3 linked regions of the Drosophila melanogaster genome follow. The gene in region 2 interacts genetically with the main gene of each other region. Each region holds a gene or a part of one and is shown on either strand. Other genes may lie near its edges.

Region 1 (6,046 bases), on a different chromosome or scaffold from region 2:
GAAGCCTTTTTATCTCTATGTCCTGCGTGTGCGAGGTACTCACATACACACCGATACGTAAAACCATATAGGGCAAAAAAAAAATATAACTTAAAGTATGAATTGTATTATATATTTTACCGTCAGCACGTTTCATAATTTATTACGGTACTAAAATATTTAATTTAAGAGTGCCTTCTCGGTTGTTCTAGACATAATATATCATATTAAAGAGTGGTCTTGATTGAAATCTGCTTGTAAGTGAATATAAAATAGATGGCACATTTTGAAGGCTTTTATAGTTATAAAACCTTAAATCTTAATTAAACAAAGCATAGTTCCCTTTGAAATATATCTTAATTCTGAACATATTTGTATTTAAAATTGATAGAAAACTTAAATGTTTGCACTAACACAAATATATACTGATGCTAATTTGCCAGGATTTATTGATTTAGTGTTTCCTTTCAGTTTCCTTCATAATTAGCCTATTAATCAACTGAACTAACAGTGCGTATACGTATTTTGAGGATTGATTGCTCGACTTTAGTGGGTGATGAATGCGATGCAAGTCAGAAATCAACTAAAGTTTTTTTGTGTTTGAGGATGTAAAAAATACAAAGCCATAATGTGGCGATGCCATTACCGGTTATTTGTGTTGGTTGGATGATGAATGACAGTTTTTCATGCACAAATACGGCGTCTTTTTTAGCATAAAACCTTTTTACAGTGTTTGCATACGAGCCGCGTGTGTTATTGAATGGAAATGCTGTCGGTTTAGCACAAACATGCATACATATATGTATGTATGTACATCGCCGCAGCGTCACTCCAAATTTGTTTGCCAGTTAATCGCACTGAGGCGCGTTAATCATGGCGGTGTGTTAAGGACGAATAAAAGGTGGTGGTGCTGTGGATAATTTTGGTGGCTACGGGGTGGCTCACTTAACTAAGGTGTGGTTGCAGATTTGGCGAGTTGACACCTTTGACGTAGAGTTGCCGCTGAAGAGGCGCTGATGAGAGGGGATGGTCGTCAAGGGGCTAACTTCCTAGTGACCTAGTTTACAAACCTTCGCACACATACACACACACAGACTTTAAACATTAATTACGTCGGGAATTCTGCACAAATGCGACAAATGCTTCACTTCACTTCACTGCCTTCCCACCTGCTCTCTTCATACCTACACAGAACAAAAAGGAGTGATCGTAGATGATGATCGGTTTACTCTTCTCAAAAGCAATATAAAAAAGATATAGATTTCAGATTCTATGAAAGATCTATGCATCTTGTCGGCGAAAAAACAAAAATATATCAAATTTGTATTGAAAAATAATTTTAACAATTTAATTTGAGTTAGAAAGAGTTTTGTGGTACGATCATTGTAATGACCATCAATCCGGGATATCATTTTAACTATTATTTTCCTGTACTACAACCAATAAATATCATATATCATTCTTTCCTTTCTTTCTTTTATTTGTACTTCTCAAATCATTTTGATTTCACTTGGCTTAAAACATACATATATTTCCACTGACCATTCATCACTTGTCCATCTCCTAGAATCTTTGAACCATGAGGGTTTAATTTTTTTTAACATCCCTGGGAATTAGCTGCTCACATTTTTGCAAGTGTATTCTCTCCGCCTCTCTTCGCGGCACTCTACACCTTTCTATTGCCATCTCGCTCACTTTACACTTCACTTACTTTGCGTATTGCCGTTTAAAAATGCGATGTTGCGGTTGTTGTTGTTGTTGTTTCCTGCTTTGCTACTACTGCTTCCTCTTCTTCTCGGCCTCCGTTTTATCCTTTGCCGATGTTTTTGTCTCTGTCTTTGTCTGCTCCTTTGCTCCTTTGGCCGGTGCTTCAATTGTTTCATAAGACGCTTCTTCTTTTTCGCTGCTCCTTTTGCTTGGGCAGGGTCGTAGGGGGTGTTGGATGGAGGGGGTGCTGCCAAAGGGGGTCAGGGGCCAAATCAGTGTTTGTTGTTGATTTGGTTGTTGTTGTTGTTGTTATTGTTGCTATTATCGCTGTCGCGGCGGCGTTGTTCAAACATAATTTGATGACTGCGCATTACAATCGATAATCCCATGCACAAATGCAGCTCAGCACATCGGCATTGCCTTAAATCCATTTTAATGAGAACGGATCCCGATAATTCCGTAATCCCCAAATGATGGCAATTCCTTTGCAGGTCCTGCTGTCACTGCCTTTTTTTGCTGTGCTCTCTCCTCCCTTTTCTTTTTTATTTTTTATATATGTTTGTTGCACTTTCACAAATAATTCGAGAAAAAACTGAGATGTGAGGGGCGTGAGCTTTTTTTTTGTCAACTTTGTTTGAGTTTGCGGTGTGTTCTGTGTAACTGTGCTATATGCTATATGCTATGTATATTACTTTGTACAACTTTTCTACATTACTATATCAGATTTACGTTGAATTCCTTATCAAACTAGTAAGCTTCTGACTATGAGGGGCATGAATTATTAATGTATTCGTTTTATTTCACTTGCTTTCTAGCTGTAACACACTTCACTTTATCAATTCCCGCACCGTAATTCCATTTAACGCGTATTTCTTTTTGCAGGTATTCAGTTCTGCGGGAGTTATATCTTATGCACAGAGTGGTGTTTTCGCTCCTGCTCCTTATTTGTCTATTTTTTGTACAGACTTTTTCGCATTGTATTCGGGGGATGAGACGCGAGAGGCTCCTGCTGTGTTCGTTGTGTTCCACATGTATCCGACGACTGGAACTCCATGACTGACATTTACGTTTTCGCCTCGCCAGGACGAAAGCTTAGAGCACGAGAGCTTTTCGGTGGGAAAGCTCGTGCTTCCGCTTTTCCACTTTTCCAGTTGCCAAGTCAAGTCGGGTTTTTTGAAGTTTCGCTTTTTCAGTTTGCTGGCCAAGTCGAAAGTCGCGAAACTCTCCGGGCAATTACGTTTACTTTGTGGGTGGGTGTAGCGGGGTGTAGGTGGGTGGTAGTTGGACGGTAATTGGGGGTTGGGCGCAAGGACGAGGGCGGGCTTAAGGACACCGGTTTTATAGAGTTGTCAAATGGCCCCAGGAATGGCCAGTCAAAACATCAAAATTCACTCGCAATTGGCCAAGGGCAATGCGAAAAACCAACAACAAGGAGCAAGTGCCACTAGGCCAACCGGGAAACAGGATGGGGGCATTGTTTTGAAAGCGAAAGGCCATAATGCTTGCACGCCACAATCCCGAGCCGCAGTCAAAGCCAAAGTTGAGTTTCATTTTTGGGGTCGCGTCGCCTCATCGAGCCAAACATGCAAACACGCACGGGCCAAAGCCAAAGCCGAAGCCCAAGGAAGGCAAGGTGAGGTCCTTGTCATTTAACTCACTTGTCGAGTTGACCTTTGTTCGCTTGGTTGCCGTGCTCCACCATAGAGCTAATGCCCAACTGCCACGCCTTGAGCTTGATCCATAGCAACTTGTACTTTTGTGTCCCCTCGCAAAACCCCCCCCCAAACCGCTCGACAAAAAAAGGGGAAACCCTGAAATATACAGCTAACCCCCCTTCACCAAACACACTTGGCTCTAAATACAAACTTGCCCCCCCCTGCTGATGGCCATGTGCATGTTTGATGAGCTTATCAAGGCTCCGGGATTATTGAATATTTTCAAATCGATATAGCCGTGCCAGCCACACCGTTAGTTGGCACCTTAATTGCCAACTGAATAAATCATTGACAATTTTGCAATTAGTTCGAGAACCTCAACTGTCCGCTCAAGTCGAAGGATTCTGCGGTCAAAAATAAACCATTTGCATTGGCCCAAAAGTAGTCAAGCCAAGAAATTGGAAGTTTTCCCATCGTCGACTTGGGAAATCAATTACTCAAATATTTATGTCCGCATGTGGAATTCGGGTATGCTGAAATGCACTTGTCTTGAACTCTGCCAGTGAATAAATGGCAATCGAAATTGCTGAGCGGATTAAATAACTTTCAGATGTGTGAATACGAGGGCATGGGTTATGGCCTATATTTGCACTGCCGTATAGGTTACAGAACGCACTTATTGTTTAGATATTTGAATTGATTTCATAGACAGTTAGAGCAGAAACGGCACTAATTAAACCAAATCCACTCAAGAGCAAATTGGTAAACAGCAGTTTGAAAATTAACATTGCGCAATTGTTATGCATTGATAAATTGATGATTTATTTATGAATTTTCTGTATTCCAATGTTATTTTGGCATAGGCCAGCTATTATTTTGAACTCTGATTTTGATTTCTAGTTCACTCTAAATTCACGTTTTAATTACATAAAATTATAAATGTTTTCAGTGAAATATTTAGCGAATTTGCTTTGAATAGAACGTTTATTTTATGTTATGGTAATCTCCTAAAACTATTCAATAAAATGAAAGTTATTATTGAATGGGCGATTTAAAACATTTGCAGGCACAGCTGCAATCAGCAATCAACATGAAATAGTGTGATAATGTTAATTGAAAAGATTGTGGCTTGTTATGGATTTCCATGAAAAGAGAAAAAATGCATAATGTTTTATTGTAAATATATAAATATATTCTGTTAAAATGAAATTATAAGTTTTTTAAAGAATAGTATATTTAAATAAGCATAAGATTACGGAAGTAACTGCTTGACAACCCTTTCATATTGGCATGACATTTGAATTCAATGAGTCTGCATAGAATTCGCAAGCAAAACCCTTGCCAAGCCATAGAATTAAATGTAATTACTGAGCCAACATTCGGCCCCAAGTTGGCAATGTAGATGCCCCACTGTCGTGGTTGCACAAATGCATCCGACCGAGCCAAGAGTAACTACCACAACGAATGTGGCAACACTCAGGCATTGAGCAGGAGCAGGGTTCAAGTTTCTCTTTGGCCAGGAAAGAACCACAAAAGATTACCGAGCGATGAGCTGCAGCTCATCATCTTCACATCCTTTCAATGGGCGCCGCTAAGTCCTTGGGCACATATGTATATGTATGTATGTGTGGTATGCACAAATATGTGTGGAACGTTTCATTTTTTATACATCCCTTATTATTATTTCCACCGCACCCCCCTCTCCCCACGGTGCGCTCAACTTTTCTTCTCTTGTTTCGCTCTACCTTCTTTTTGGTTTTGTGTTAAATTGTTGCGTTAACCAAGCCAACCAGCTTCGGGGGCAATCCTTGTAAAAAGTTTAGCATAGCAGAAGGCGCACACAGACATGCTCGCAGCCATTCACACAGAGCCACCAACACAGTCGCACGCCTGGCATGCGTTTTTCACATTGTTTCATGCGGTTGAATAAACACAGGCGCACACACACACGCACATACCGTCAAAAGGCACGCACACACACACACACACTCATGCATTTTATGATCTGCACAAATAGGACCAAGAGAGTAAGAGCGCGAGGGGGAAAGACACACAGAGAGAGAGAGAGAGAGAGAGAGAGAGACGCAAAGACACTTATTCGCTCGCTTGCCTCGACAGGCTTACAAAACAAACATTGCGGCATGTTTTCTGTTTGCACACACTGCGTATACGTACCATGGTCCTTACATTTCCTACCTGCGCTTTGTCAGTGCCCAGCAGCACCAACACACCGACACACTACCTTCCACACAAACAAATTGCAGTCACGTACATATGCACATTACTCAGTTCGGCCTGGACAGCAGTTGTGGCACAGTCCTTAACCCTTGATCAGCTGGTAGATTTTAGTTTTCATCGTCGGATGGTAAAAATATATGTTGTTGGTATTATGTCATTGTATTGATATAAATAATATTTATTAATATTAAGCAAACAAAACAACCCCAAAGGTGTCTAAAGTATTTTACAATCGATTGTAACTTTTTCTTGAAATATGATTATGTAGCATACTTTTCAGGAGAGTCCTTTTAGGGCAGAACTCATCGCGCTCTGAAAACATATCTCGATCGTAGTGAGTGCTCACTCCATGTTGAAACTGCATCTTAAACAAGTTTAAATTTAAATAAATACTTTCAGAAATGAAAAATCACAAACTAAGCAAACTGATTTGCTTGATCTAATTTCAGACGCCCAATTACAACATA
Region 2 (6,046 bases):
AGGGTGTACATATCAACCTTCTGGTTGTACACAGACTTGGAAGCATTTCCTGTCAATTCGGGAGCCACGTATAGAGTGGTGCCGACCTTACCAGTACCAGTGCCGTCTTCCGCACTGGTTATCTGGTTAACAGGCGCAGGCGCTGCGTCGTGGGCTTGGAGAGCCAGAAAACTGGTGGTGGCCAGACCAAAGTCACCGATCTTAATCTGATCGTGCGAGTCCAAGAAGATGTTAACGGGCTTTAGGTCCCGATGGATAATGCCTTGCTGGTGAATATGCGCGAGACCCTCGGCAATCTCCCGAAATAAGCGCCACAGACGATCCGTGTCATTGAAGAGATTGTCATCGATGGCGGTGCTACAGTATTATTAAATAGTTATTTAATTAGTTATTTAATTGGTGAAGCTTTCGAAAAACATACCGCAATGTGCATTTCTCACAGAACTCCATCTGGATGTACATGACCTGCATCAAAGGTTTTGGCGAATTGGTCTTGCCTCTGGTGGAATCCTCCTGCTCTTCGTCGTCGTAGACAGCCACCTTGCCGTTGGAGTCCACAAATTCAATGCCATCCGAATCAGAGTCCTCCATGTTGGGTCTGATGGATACGAAGAGGTGTTAGCGTTAATTCAAATTAGAGGAAGCATAGAAGCTAATTTTTACATGTAACCGTTCCACATGCTGGATGAGCTGTCCTCTTCATCCTCGTCCTCCTCTAAAGTGGGCCCCAGCTGTGGTGACTTGGCAGGTTTTACGCTAAGGTCCTGCTGACTCTGGGACCACTCACCGCCCAGCAGCTTATCCATCTCAGCGGCATCTGCGTCATCTACACTTTCTATCCAACTGTTAAAGTATCGAACTACATTCTCATGATTCAGCCGCGAAAGAAGCTCCACCTCGCGCGTCATCTTTTTGTACAGCTGGCGACTCCTCGCGGGCAATGGTATGCGCTTGATGGCGTACTCTCGGTTGTCTAAAATGTTGCGCACCTTTAGCACGTCACCAAAGGCACCCTTTCCCAAGTACATGAGCACCTCGAATTCCGTTCGCAGGCGGGATTGGCTTAGGGCCAGTGTCGGTATCTGGTACGGCATGGCGGATCCAGTGCGCTGGACGGTGTTAGGATGTTGCTGCTGTGGTAATGGCATCACCTGCTGCTGGCCATTGTCGACGTAAAAGCGTAAGAATGGATGCTCCAATAACTCTGATGCGGAAAGAGTTCGGTCCGAGTTACACCTAAAGAAAACATTAAATTAAAAAAGGATTAAGTTTTCATTACAATTAATTACTTGTCTACAAAGTCGCGCATCTCGTAACTGTTAGTGGGCATCAAACTCTCCACCAGGGCACCTAACGCGGGTAAGTCCCCGCAACTGCTGCTTTGTCCAGCTCCGCTCAGAAGTTCTAGAAGATTGGGAACGAGCGAAAAGTCTGATACCCTCACATTGCCTGTGTTGTCCATAAAAACAGTGGTGTCGAGCAGGTGACTATGGGATACACCCTTGTTGTGAAGAAATACTAAGGCGTCCAGCACGCCGCGCGCAACCATTCGTGCGCCGTCCATGCACCAGCCAAGCGAGGAGGAGATGCTGAACACGCTGGTGCCAAGGAGGAAGTCTTGGACCAAATACACAAGTAGACCTTCCTTTCGCTTGATGCACAGTACGCACTCGTACGAGACGAGGTTTTTGTGCTGTAGTTGGGACAGTGAGGACACCTGCTTTTCAATGGAGGCCATCACTTCGTCCACACGATGACTGCCCATGCACTTTGACTCGCTGCTCCAGTGGCACTTGCCTCCGCCGATGCATGGCTGCTCCAGTTGGCTGTACTTGATGTTCCATTCTGTTATGTAGAGCAACTGGCCGCAGTGCATATCTATGCCAGTGTAGGCGATGCAACCTCGTTGGGAGTGACCTAGGAATTACGCACAATAAATTACTTAGTTCAGACGCATTCAAAACAGGAATTCTCTTTAGGAAAGCGAACCCTCACCAACGCAGCATCCACGCTGAATCTGCCTGCCCATCTTGTGGAAGTAGAGCGTCTCCGTGTTGCGGTGATCCAGGCATTTGGAGGGGTAGATGTGACCACGATAGTAGGGCGAGGAGTTCTCGGAGCTCTCCGACGAGCTAGGATGCCGTGGGTTAGACTCGCTCATGCTGCGCCTTGGTTCGCCGCGCCTCTTAGCCTCCGTTTTGAACATCTCTTTGCGCCGCTCCACCTCGTCGATGAGCGTCTGGCGTTGCAGGGACTCCCGCTGCCGCTGTATGTCCTGTAGCTCCTGGTCGCGCTTCTGTTTATCCTGGAGCATCTGGTCGTAGAATGATCCCTTTGGTGGTTTGTTGTGTTCGAGGAGAAAGGCCTGAACGGTCTGGGCCAATTCATAAATCATCACTTCGCCACGTAGCTCTTGGGATTGAGCCTGCAATTGGTTGCGTAGGGCCTCCAGCAGCTGATCCGACATGCCTTTGGACTCCTCCAGAGATATCTTAGGGGGCCTGCGGAAAGTTTGGTTTACTTATTTTGAGTAATGCATTCCACATTCTAGTGGTTAGTTCTATAGTTTAAAATTCAGTTTTTTAAGAATAAGTGGAACTGGGCTCTTACAATTTTGGATACTTTGATGGACAGGTGACGTGCAGCTTGGTGCACACATAGGTTTCCAGTCCGTTCGAGGAGTCTCGAAGTGGGGTAAGTTGTATCCGTATGTCCGTTGGCTTCCACAGGGAAGGATTCGCCTGGGGTCTTAGGTCCTCCACATCACAGCCAAAGATGGACTGTTCCAAGATAAGGAGATAAGCCTTTAGTATCAGCTTCTTGGATGAAACACCTGCTCTGCTCACCTTTATAACCTCCAACTCCTGCGCTTGCCGCTCGCGGAAGGATTCCTTGGCCTTTTCATCCGCCATTTCTGCATTAAATCTCCGGTTAGTGGATAAGTCTTGGCTACATCTGGGTGCTTTGGAATACTGGATCGGAAGTTCCTTCGGATTTCCCACCGGGTTATTTTAGCCGGTGTGCAATTTCACAAACTGCGCTGGCAGCTGTTTCCAAATCAGCTGCGTGCTGCATTACTTTGCTGCTGTATTCGACTTGAATTCGATGTGAAATGAGTTACTACGCGAACTCCTGCCGTTTTTGTTGCGTAAAGAGAACAACCTGTTGCGCTTTCCACTTAATTTTCCGGAAAAAGAAAATTTTTTGCGTATTTTGTACTGAAGGCTAGTGGTGCACAAGTGTCGATAACAAGCCTGAAAGTCCAATGTTGGCACTATCGATACTTGGCGCCAACGTTCGACTTCGTTGTCTTTTGAACCGAAGAATGACAATGGTCGGTTTTCAATAAAATATAGATAAGTGTTTGTTTTCAAACGTAGGCCTTGCCCACAAAGAGGCCTATTCCCATGATAACTAATTGAAAAGAGAAGAAAACTCCTCCCACTGGGATTCCGCGATAAGCGATTTAACAGCACTCTTCACTGTTGACATTCCTTGTTGGTTTTGCTTATCTAATTGAAAATTTGACAATTGTACTCAAAGCGCAGCGGATTAAGGTTATCTGAAATGGAAATAGAGTTTTCATTGGCGATCTGCAGCATTCAGTCTTCCATTTCGTCTAGAAGGCAGAACTTGCCAAGTGCAACAATGCCGCCAATCTTTCTGCTCGTATGTCTTCTTCCTGGTTACTCGGAAGGTGCTCGCATCCTGGCAGTGTTCCCTTTGCCAAGTTCTTCGCATTACTTTTTCGCCTTACCCTACCTTAAGAGTTTGGCCTCCCTGGGCCACGAAATAACCAGTGTAAGTCCGTATCCACAAAGGGAGCCGTTTAGGAATATACACGATATTCCAGTTCCCGAGGTTTTCGAAAACTTTAATGGTGAGATGAGATAAATAAAGATCTGATTTGTCAAATAGAAATACTTACGATATTTTCCAGAGGTCCTTAGGATTGCATCTACTCCCAGGAGCACCTGGCAAAGTAGTGATTTCATCAACGAATATGTCCTTAATCTTACGAAGACAGTGCTGAATAACGAGGGCGTAAGGCGCGATATTCTAGGCCCACAGAAGCCCCATTTCGATCTTGTGATAATGGATCTCTGGCGAATGGACGTGCTCAGTGGCCTGGCTGCCTATTTTGATGCCCCGATCATCGGAATGGCTTCCTATGGCACCGACTGGAAGATTGACGAACTGATGGGCAACGTCTCACCGATTTCTTACCTGCAGTCTCCCTCTTCTCGATTCTACGATCTGGAGGCCTATGGAGAGCGGTTGTTGCACCTGATGGAGCGAACTTTTTCTTATATGAACTATAAATGGCGACATGTGAGAAAACAGGAGACTCTCTATAGTCAATTTTTCCCCAGCGTCGCTGAGCGGAAACCCTTGTCAGAGATATCCCGGAACTTTGATTTGGTCCTGGTCAATCAGCACTTCACACTGGGTCCTCCTCGTCCTTATGTTCCGAATATGATCCAGGTGGGTGGTCTGCATGTCGATCACAGCACAGAGGCTCTGTCCGCCGAACTGGACCACTTTATCCAAGGTGCTGGTGAATCGGGGGTAATCTATTTCTCACTGGGAACCAATGTCAAAAGCAAATCGCTATCCGAGGATCGTCGAAAGGTATTGCTCGAGACTTTCGCCAGCTTGCCACAGCGAATCGTTTGGAAGTTCGAAGATGAACTGCTGCCAGGAAAACCCCCCAATGTTTTCATTAGTAAGTGGTTCCCGCAGCAGGCCATCCTGGCCCATCCCAATGTAAAACTCTTTATAACCCACGGCGGGCTACTGAGCACTATAGAGAGTATTCACCATGGAAAGCCCATGTTGGGGTTGCCCTGCCTATTCGATCAGTTTCGAAATATGGATCATGTCCGGCAAGTGGGTCTTGGTTTGGTCCTCAACATAAAGCAAATGACCAGTGAGGAATTTAGGTCTACAATTATACGGCTGCTAACGAACAAGAGTTTCGAAGAAACGGCAAGGATCACGGCTGCCAGATATCGGGATCAACCAATGAAGCCCATGGAAACGGCGATCTGGTGGACCGAGTATGTCCTGTCTCACAAGGGAGCTGCTCACATGCAAGTCGCCGGCAAGGACTTGGGTTTTGTAAGATACCACAGTCTAGATGTCTTCGGCACTTTTTTGGTTGGCGCTTTAGTTATCCTGGGAATTGTTACATATCTGTTGGTTATGACCTTAAGGAAATGCCTCTTTTTAATAAAAAGGGGTAAATGTGAGGCAATAAAGAAGATTCAGTAAAGTTTTTTTTAATGTTAATCCAATAAACTTTTCAAGTTTAATGTTGTTTTACTTACTGGATTTCAATCATGAAATGAGTTATTTGTCTTTAATCTCAAACTCTACTTTTAGACTGTCGAAATTACAGCTTTCAAAATTTTCTAAAATTCTAAAAAAAAAGAAAAAAAATCTTCACCATGAACAGACCTCCGGCGAACAAAAAGGATCACGTAGTGTTGGTCGCTCTTACAGATTCCAGGAGACGTGCTTACTTGGATGATCAAAGTCTGGAGAGTGACATCAGGATCTTGGACCACAAGTCAATGCTGTTGAGGATGCCGAAGAACACAACTAAGCCTGCTAACTCGATGGAGCCTCCTCGTTACTACCGCCACTTGGAGTTCGACGGTATTGGTTATGAATTTGATAGCCATATTAGGACAGAGTTGGGCGATATGCTAGGTCAGATGTTTCGTCACCGTCGCAATGGAAGTCTTCTGCGGATCTCATCCCAAAGAAACCATAATCCCAGCCTCTTGACACGTCTCTTGGTCACTGAAGTCGACTCACTGATGGTCGAGATGCGCTGCCGCCTAAAAGCAATTAATGTGGACTACTTCGATGTCCGGAAGTTCGACATGGTCAACATGCTGGTGCAACCCAAGGGCGTTCCCAAGCGGCGAAGGGATTCGCCTAGCGGAAAAAGTGTCTCCAGCACCAAGGAACTGCACCAGTGGCTAACTAATGATCTAGCCCTGTTAAGAGGCCGTGGGATCGGTGATGACTATTTGCA
Region 3 (6,046 bases), on a different chromosome or scaffold from region 2:
CAAAATATTTTAATTCTGCGAATTGATTTTATATTTGTTTTAATGTGCTAATAGGCGCTAACACAAGCCACTTTATGCAAAACAAGGGTGTAAAAATGTAAGTAAATTCTGACAATTTATTCCTTTATTCAATTGGCATAGCAATAACTTATGTATGTACGTCTACGAGACGCATCTTTTAAATAGGAGGTTTTCCCGAGTATTTCGTTTTCCCCACGCTCCGTGAAAAGCAGGTTAAGGCTGTTACGTGCCGCTGCATACTGCAAGCGGACAAGTCTACTGCTCACACTTTGATTGAGCTGAATTCAGGTAAAAAAAAGCTTTGTCAAGCCGATGCTTATATACCCTTGCTGGAGTTTATATACCCTAAACAGATGAAATACTTAAGGCGACGAATCTGGTATATTAAATTAAATATAATTAATATAATTAAATTAAATATAAATTAAATATCCTATGACAGCTATAAGGGTATACTAAATTTCAAAAATAAATTAGGTGTTATCAGACAACAACAGTTCGTATAAAGAATCAAAAAAGTCTCTGAGAAATAACAACGAAGTTACATTTTTTTTTTAAATTTATTTTTTGTTAGATCCTTTACCAGCTATGTGATATAGTAGTCCCGGACCAGTTCCATTTCCGATTTATAGAAAAAAAGAAGATGTTTCATGTAGCTTCCAAAACCAGGGACTGATTGACTTACAGACGAAGATGGGCATATCGACTCGACTGTTGATACTGATCAATAATATATATGTATGTATATATTTATATCGCTGCTCTACTGACTTTTAACAGAAGTCAGTATACCCTCTGCAAGGGCATGCAAGCCCCTCGAGGGGCGTGGCGAGGCTAGTCTTTCACGCCGTCCAACGCCCAGCGATTTGCATTCGCCATATTTCAAATTAGCAATTCAACATTTATAATTAAAAGTTGTGCAAACATTTTGAGGCATTTATTGCATAATTGCGTTCGGAGGTGTGTGGGTGAAAAAAACCGAGTTTACCGACATTAATCGGTGGGTTTTTGTTAAATCCTTGTTTTTATACAATTAATTAATATCCATGTGGGTTTGGGTGGCGAAAGGGGGTGGGGAAATAGGATTATCATTTTCATTTTAATTGCCCGGAAGTCATTTGTTGATGTAGTTGATGTTGCTGAAGGAGGAGTTCTTGTTGAGGTTTATTTTCAAAGCAGCTGAAAAACAAATAGAATGGATAATTTCTATTTGTTTGTAAAGTTAATGCATCCGCAAGCAAATAAAAATTCTCCCACCGACTGCGCTCTAATTTAATTATGAAGCGATATAGTTATTTAAATCTGATAATAAACGCTCCCCTTCATTTTCGACACTCGTGTCATTCATTTAGCAACAATTAAATTTAAACCAGCACGATATGGGCTCGACCCCAGAAGCTCGAAGGAGGTGCCTCCCAACGAAATAAACACAATGCCAATGTGGAGCTTCCCGTCCTCCGATTTGCGCTTCCGTCTGGGCGGCTTGATTTGGATTTATCACTTCACTTTTATTGCGCTCAAAGTCGACTCGGAAACATCAAATTTTAAACAGCGATGGCAAATTACAAGCCATTCAAAGCAATTTCAACCGACTTCTGAACAATGCAAATAACTCTACCAATCAATGAGTTGCGTTGCCTGCACGAGAAATAACTTACTGATTAGAAAGTGATTAGCCGCACAGAACTTTTTCGTATCAAAGGCGACCTAGTCCCTCAAATTTCAGTTAGTCATTCTCGGGCAGCGTTGAATAAATTAGCGAAGCAATTTTGCCTGCATTGGCTGGACTGGACCAGGACGCGAACTCTTTACTCCTTCAACTACATACATATGTACTATATGTACATATGTACATATATATGTACACACAAATGAAAATACAATTAAGAGCGACATTTATTATCTGATTCATTCCACTTTCACATATAATTATCACCAGATTTGTGATTGTGATTTCGCGCTTTTGTGCGGGGTGCGATGCGGAAGCGTCTTTATATTGCTCAAATGCATACGGGTAAATTAATGAAAGCTGGCATGGGTTAGTCGCTGGGCTAGTCAGTAATTAACGAGAGAGACTAGTCGTGCTATTTGCGTCTAAAACAACTTTAATTGACGGATATTATTCTGACTGCTGTTGCCCAGATGGTCTCTGAAGGTCAAGTTCTTAGTTAACGAATTCTATGACAGACTTTAGAACCAATAGTAACAAAGAAATAGAAATTGTATACCTTAAAACACATATGGGCTTATAAATGATCGCGAATGTTAGACTCAAGCGCTAATAATATGTGGATCCAATTCGGACAGTTTATAAAATATCTTTTATTTCATCGCCATTGCTTGTTCGCTATTCAAGAGATATATGGAGTTATATAAAATTACTACGAGTACGTCTTGTTCCGCTGGGAATTATAAAGTTACAATGTATAACAGTATATAAAGTATTTACATTCTTGATTACCGATCTAGCCATACATAGCCGTACATATCTTAAAGCCCGCACGGCTCGCTTTGTTGATTTTTTATCCTATTGCATTTTGCCGCAAGTTACATACCATTTGAACCTATTATTTACAAGCTACATTTAGACCAATTTATATATACAAATTAAAAGCTTTTATTTATGTTTTATTATCTATTATTGATGCCATTTGCTCGCATCTTTTAGAAACCGCATAAAGAATTTGTATTGTAACTCTAAAATCAAAAAGCATAAGTCTAATAGTTATCTTTTTAAAAAAATTTAGAAACTTTAAAAACAACCAATTATTAATAACAATAACACAATATATGTACATACATTTTTGATTTTTATGGTAGACCTTCGGAATGCTTATGAATCTTCAATTAAATGTTGAACTTTATAAGGTAATAGACAGTTGTGGCGGTTTAGCTGGCCTCTAACTGGTTTAATACTAGTTTAAAGCAGCGTCATTGATCTTCATAAATTGTTTATGGTGTCACAGAGCAGTATATCCACGTCACATCGGTCTCCCACTGAACAAAAGTTCTGGCTCTTCAAAATTCACAACACCAACGCGGGTTAACATCTATAAAGCTAAAGTTCCAACGAGAACACCTGTGGGTGCCGAGAGCTTTTGGATTGAATCGCAACTAAACCCGACCGAATGCGGCAAACGCTGATGATGAACTCAAGCGAGCTCTAGACAAAAGTGCGCCAAGTTCGCATGAAGCGGCACAGAGAGCCTATGACCAAGTAATTAGCAATACAATTGAGAGGGTCTCACACAACGGCCATAATAATGCTACGCTCGCCTTCACAATTATTAAGCATAAAACCAGATTTTAATTGATACAACTCATAACCACCGTTTCGAAACGAACTGTATTTTGTTTGCCCCAAATGCGTAGTTATGTGGAAGTTCGAAATATCTATCTATAGAAAGTCAGTTACATCCCACACTGGCCGCGCTGCTTTGAGGGCCCTGGGTGTGCATCAACCTGGTCAGACTTGGAACTTTGCTGGTAAACCAGACCGTCTACGCCGGGAATGGTGTTGCATCCCACGCAGGCGTGCAATGTGTCGTGAATGAAGATGTCGCAGTCAACGCAGAAGAACTGCTTGCAGAAACCGCATCTGAAGACGACTTTATCGGCGACCTTGTCAACGCCTTGCCCAAGAGCTTTGGCGCAGCCGTAACATTCCCTGACATCGCTGGTGAGGTCGGATGACGAAGCAGGCATCGCCTCAAACGGCAGTTCCTCAAAATTTGGCACCGGGAAAAGGTGGTGGTAGGAACGCGCCAAGTGCGGCGCGGAGACCAGGGTGAGGCCGCAAGACTGGCACTCCACGGGCAGCTCGCAGTACTTGCTGTTGCATTGCGGGCAGTGGTGGCCAGTAGTGGTCAGTTCACTGGGCTCCTCCAAGTTCTCTATGTGGCACATGCACATGGACAATGGCGCGTCCTTGCCCTCAACTTCATTCTTTGTGTGCGGGAAGCCCATGCGAATAAGCGAGTTGTGCTGAGTCTTAGCGGCGGGCGGTGGATCTACCTGAGACATGAGTTGATCCCGAAAATGTGCATCATCCAAAACAGCCCCGAAGGTGCCCATTGTTTGCTGAGTGAGGTAGCGGGCCACGTGAATCTCAGCGGACAGGGAAATAACCGAGCAGCGTATGCCCTCCTTTTTTAACTCGTCGATGGTGAGGTTAATATCGACAGGATCACATGTGGTGAGCGAGCCCATGATAATGACGATCTCTCGGGAGGCGTGCGACGGCACCACCTTAAGCGATTTTAGGGCCAGATCTAGGCCATTTTGCAGCGAAGGCTCGCTGGTCAAGGACACGTTAGCCAAGCTAAACAAAAAGGGGATATAAATGGAGAACGCTGGTTTGATTCGGTTCTTACCTCTCTAGCGCTTTGAGGTGCACGCGCGAAGTGCCGGTAAGTTCGGTCACCTTCTCCGCTCGCTTAGCTTTTAGCGCTATGAGTCCTAATTGGCTGATGGGGTTCTGATCGAAGAACTCCTCGATAAACAGCTCCAGCAGCTTGACGGTGCACCGCAGTCGTGTGGGTTTCAAATCAGGCACGCTCATGGACTCAGAGCAATCGAGCACAACGAACATGTGGCGCATCATGCCCAGGCGGTTCTGCTTGGACTTTTGAGCCTGCCTCTGGCGTTTGGCCTTCTGAATGATCTCTGCAATGGCTCCATCCAGCATCCCATCCTCGTCGTCCTTGATGGCCTCCCTAATAGGATTAAAAGTAAGTGCGGGCTTACATTGTCACGCACACCATCGCACCATGTCTTTTCATAGCCCGTTTCCCAGCGGTACTCCTTCTGGTCCTCTTGCTCATCGTCGGCCATACTTGCAGTCCTGATGCACTACCAAGTCAAATCAAGAAAGAAAAGCAATTAACGCTAAATAAAATGCGCCGGCTAATGTAACAGTGTGTACACACAGGGCCTACGTTAAATACAATACACTGGGTGGCAACCCTGGGTAAGTATTTATATCAATAAATATCTACAAAAGAATGACATAATAAAATGAAATAATAAAAAATAATTTCGAATTTCTTACCTAATATGAACAAAAAAAGTACAATATTATTATTATTGCGCCCAAAGTTGCCACATCAATAAATATACCCACCACGACGCGTAATTGGCTAACTAAGTGCACCGCCACACGGGCGAACTGAAAAGGGCGCTACACCCTAAGTTTGGGCACTTAAAACCGTGCAAGCATTGAAACCCGCGTTTTATATCATATACTATATTCGAAAAAACCTTCGAAATCTTAAAATTTACTGGACTGCAGTTAGTTTAAAGCTATCGACAGGCAATACACTCCCAGTAATATTAGGATTTAAATAGCTTAGCACAGAAGAGCATTCTAAGGTCCGCACAGCCGGAACCAAATCATCTCTGGACAATTTCCGTGCAGCCGAATTTCGCTTTTGGCATTCAGAGTTCGCGCGTACAACTGTGAGCAGCAGTGGAGCTGCTCGTGTTGAAAAATCGGGAGTCAGTTAAATTAAAATAACCGTTTGAAACAACATTCAGTTTGATATTTATCCAAAATTGTTTATGAAGGTGTGTACCAAAGTGTTCTAGAGAAATCTTTTAATTTAATGATATGTGGAATAGGCTTATTTGCAATCATACCTGGCCTATATCTAGTGCCTGCAAGGTTTAGCGGGCAAAATGAAATTGTGAACTTTGATATTATTTAAACTATATGTAATCCTTTTTTTTAAATGAAAACAAATAGGATCGAACCATAGGGTTTTATTTATTTTAATTTTTAGCTGTGTTGAAGTTCAAATGCATTTGTAACAGATAAGTTTAAGTAACTAATAAAGTCGCATTACGCATAGTTCGTGCTTTTCTGTGTTTTATTATATTATATATCTACAACAGTGCGGCAGGCTCGTTCTTTTCATAATGTACTTAGTGTTTTTTTTCGGCTGCCTAAGCGCCGCTGCATTTTGCCCATTGCAGATGTACATATGCTTGAACTCACCATATCGGACACACACCGCAGACAGCGACC

What was found.
Region 1: of Gcn2 (region 2) and GABA-B-R1, changing one suppresses a phenotype caused by changing the other (phenotypic suppression), as found in Drosophila melanogaster (one study listed by BioGRID).
Region 3: of Gcn2 (region 2) and slif, changing one suppresses a phenotype caused by changing the other (phenotypic suppression), as found in Drosophila melanogaster (one study listed by BioGRID).

The regions. Positions count from the first base shown.
Region 1 is NT_033779.5:15,013,041-15,019,086, reverse strand, and holds the start of GABA-B-R1 (metabotropic GABA-B receptor subtype 1), read right to left. Parts: upstream 2,757-6,046; 5' UTR 1,691-2,756; intron 1-1,690.
Region 2 is NT_033777.3:31,392,857-31,398,902, reverse strand, and holds the start of Gcn2 (Gcn2), read right to left. Parts: upstream 3,244-6,046; 5' UTR 2,913-3,243; coding exon 2,847-2,912; intron 2,781-2,846; coding exon 2,611-2,780; intron 2,502-2,610; coding exon 1,990-2,501; intron 1,918-1,989; coding exon 1,290-1,917; intron 1,237-1,289; coding exon 664-1,236; intron 599-663; coding exon 422-598; intron 358-421; coding exon 1-357. Other genes in the region: Ugt35D1 (UDP-glycosyltransferase family 35 member D1), read left to right, coding at 3,649-3,880, 3,941-5,274; CG31204 (uncharacterized protein), read left to right, coding at 5,451-6,046.
Region 3 is NT_037436.4:22,878,174-22,884,219, reverse strand, and holds the start of slif (slimfast), read right to left. Parts: upstream 3,176-6,046; 5' UTR 2,822-3,175; intron 1-2,821. Other genes in the region: Ssl1 (suppressor of stem-loop mutation), read right to left, coding at 3,433-4,342, 4,395-4,736, 4,790-4,854.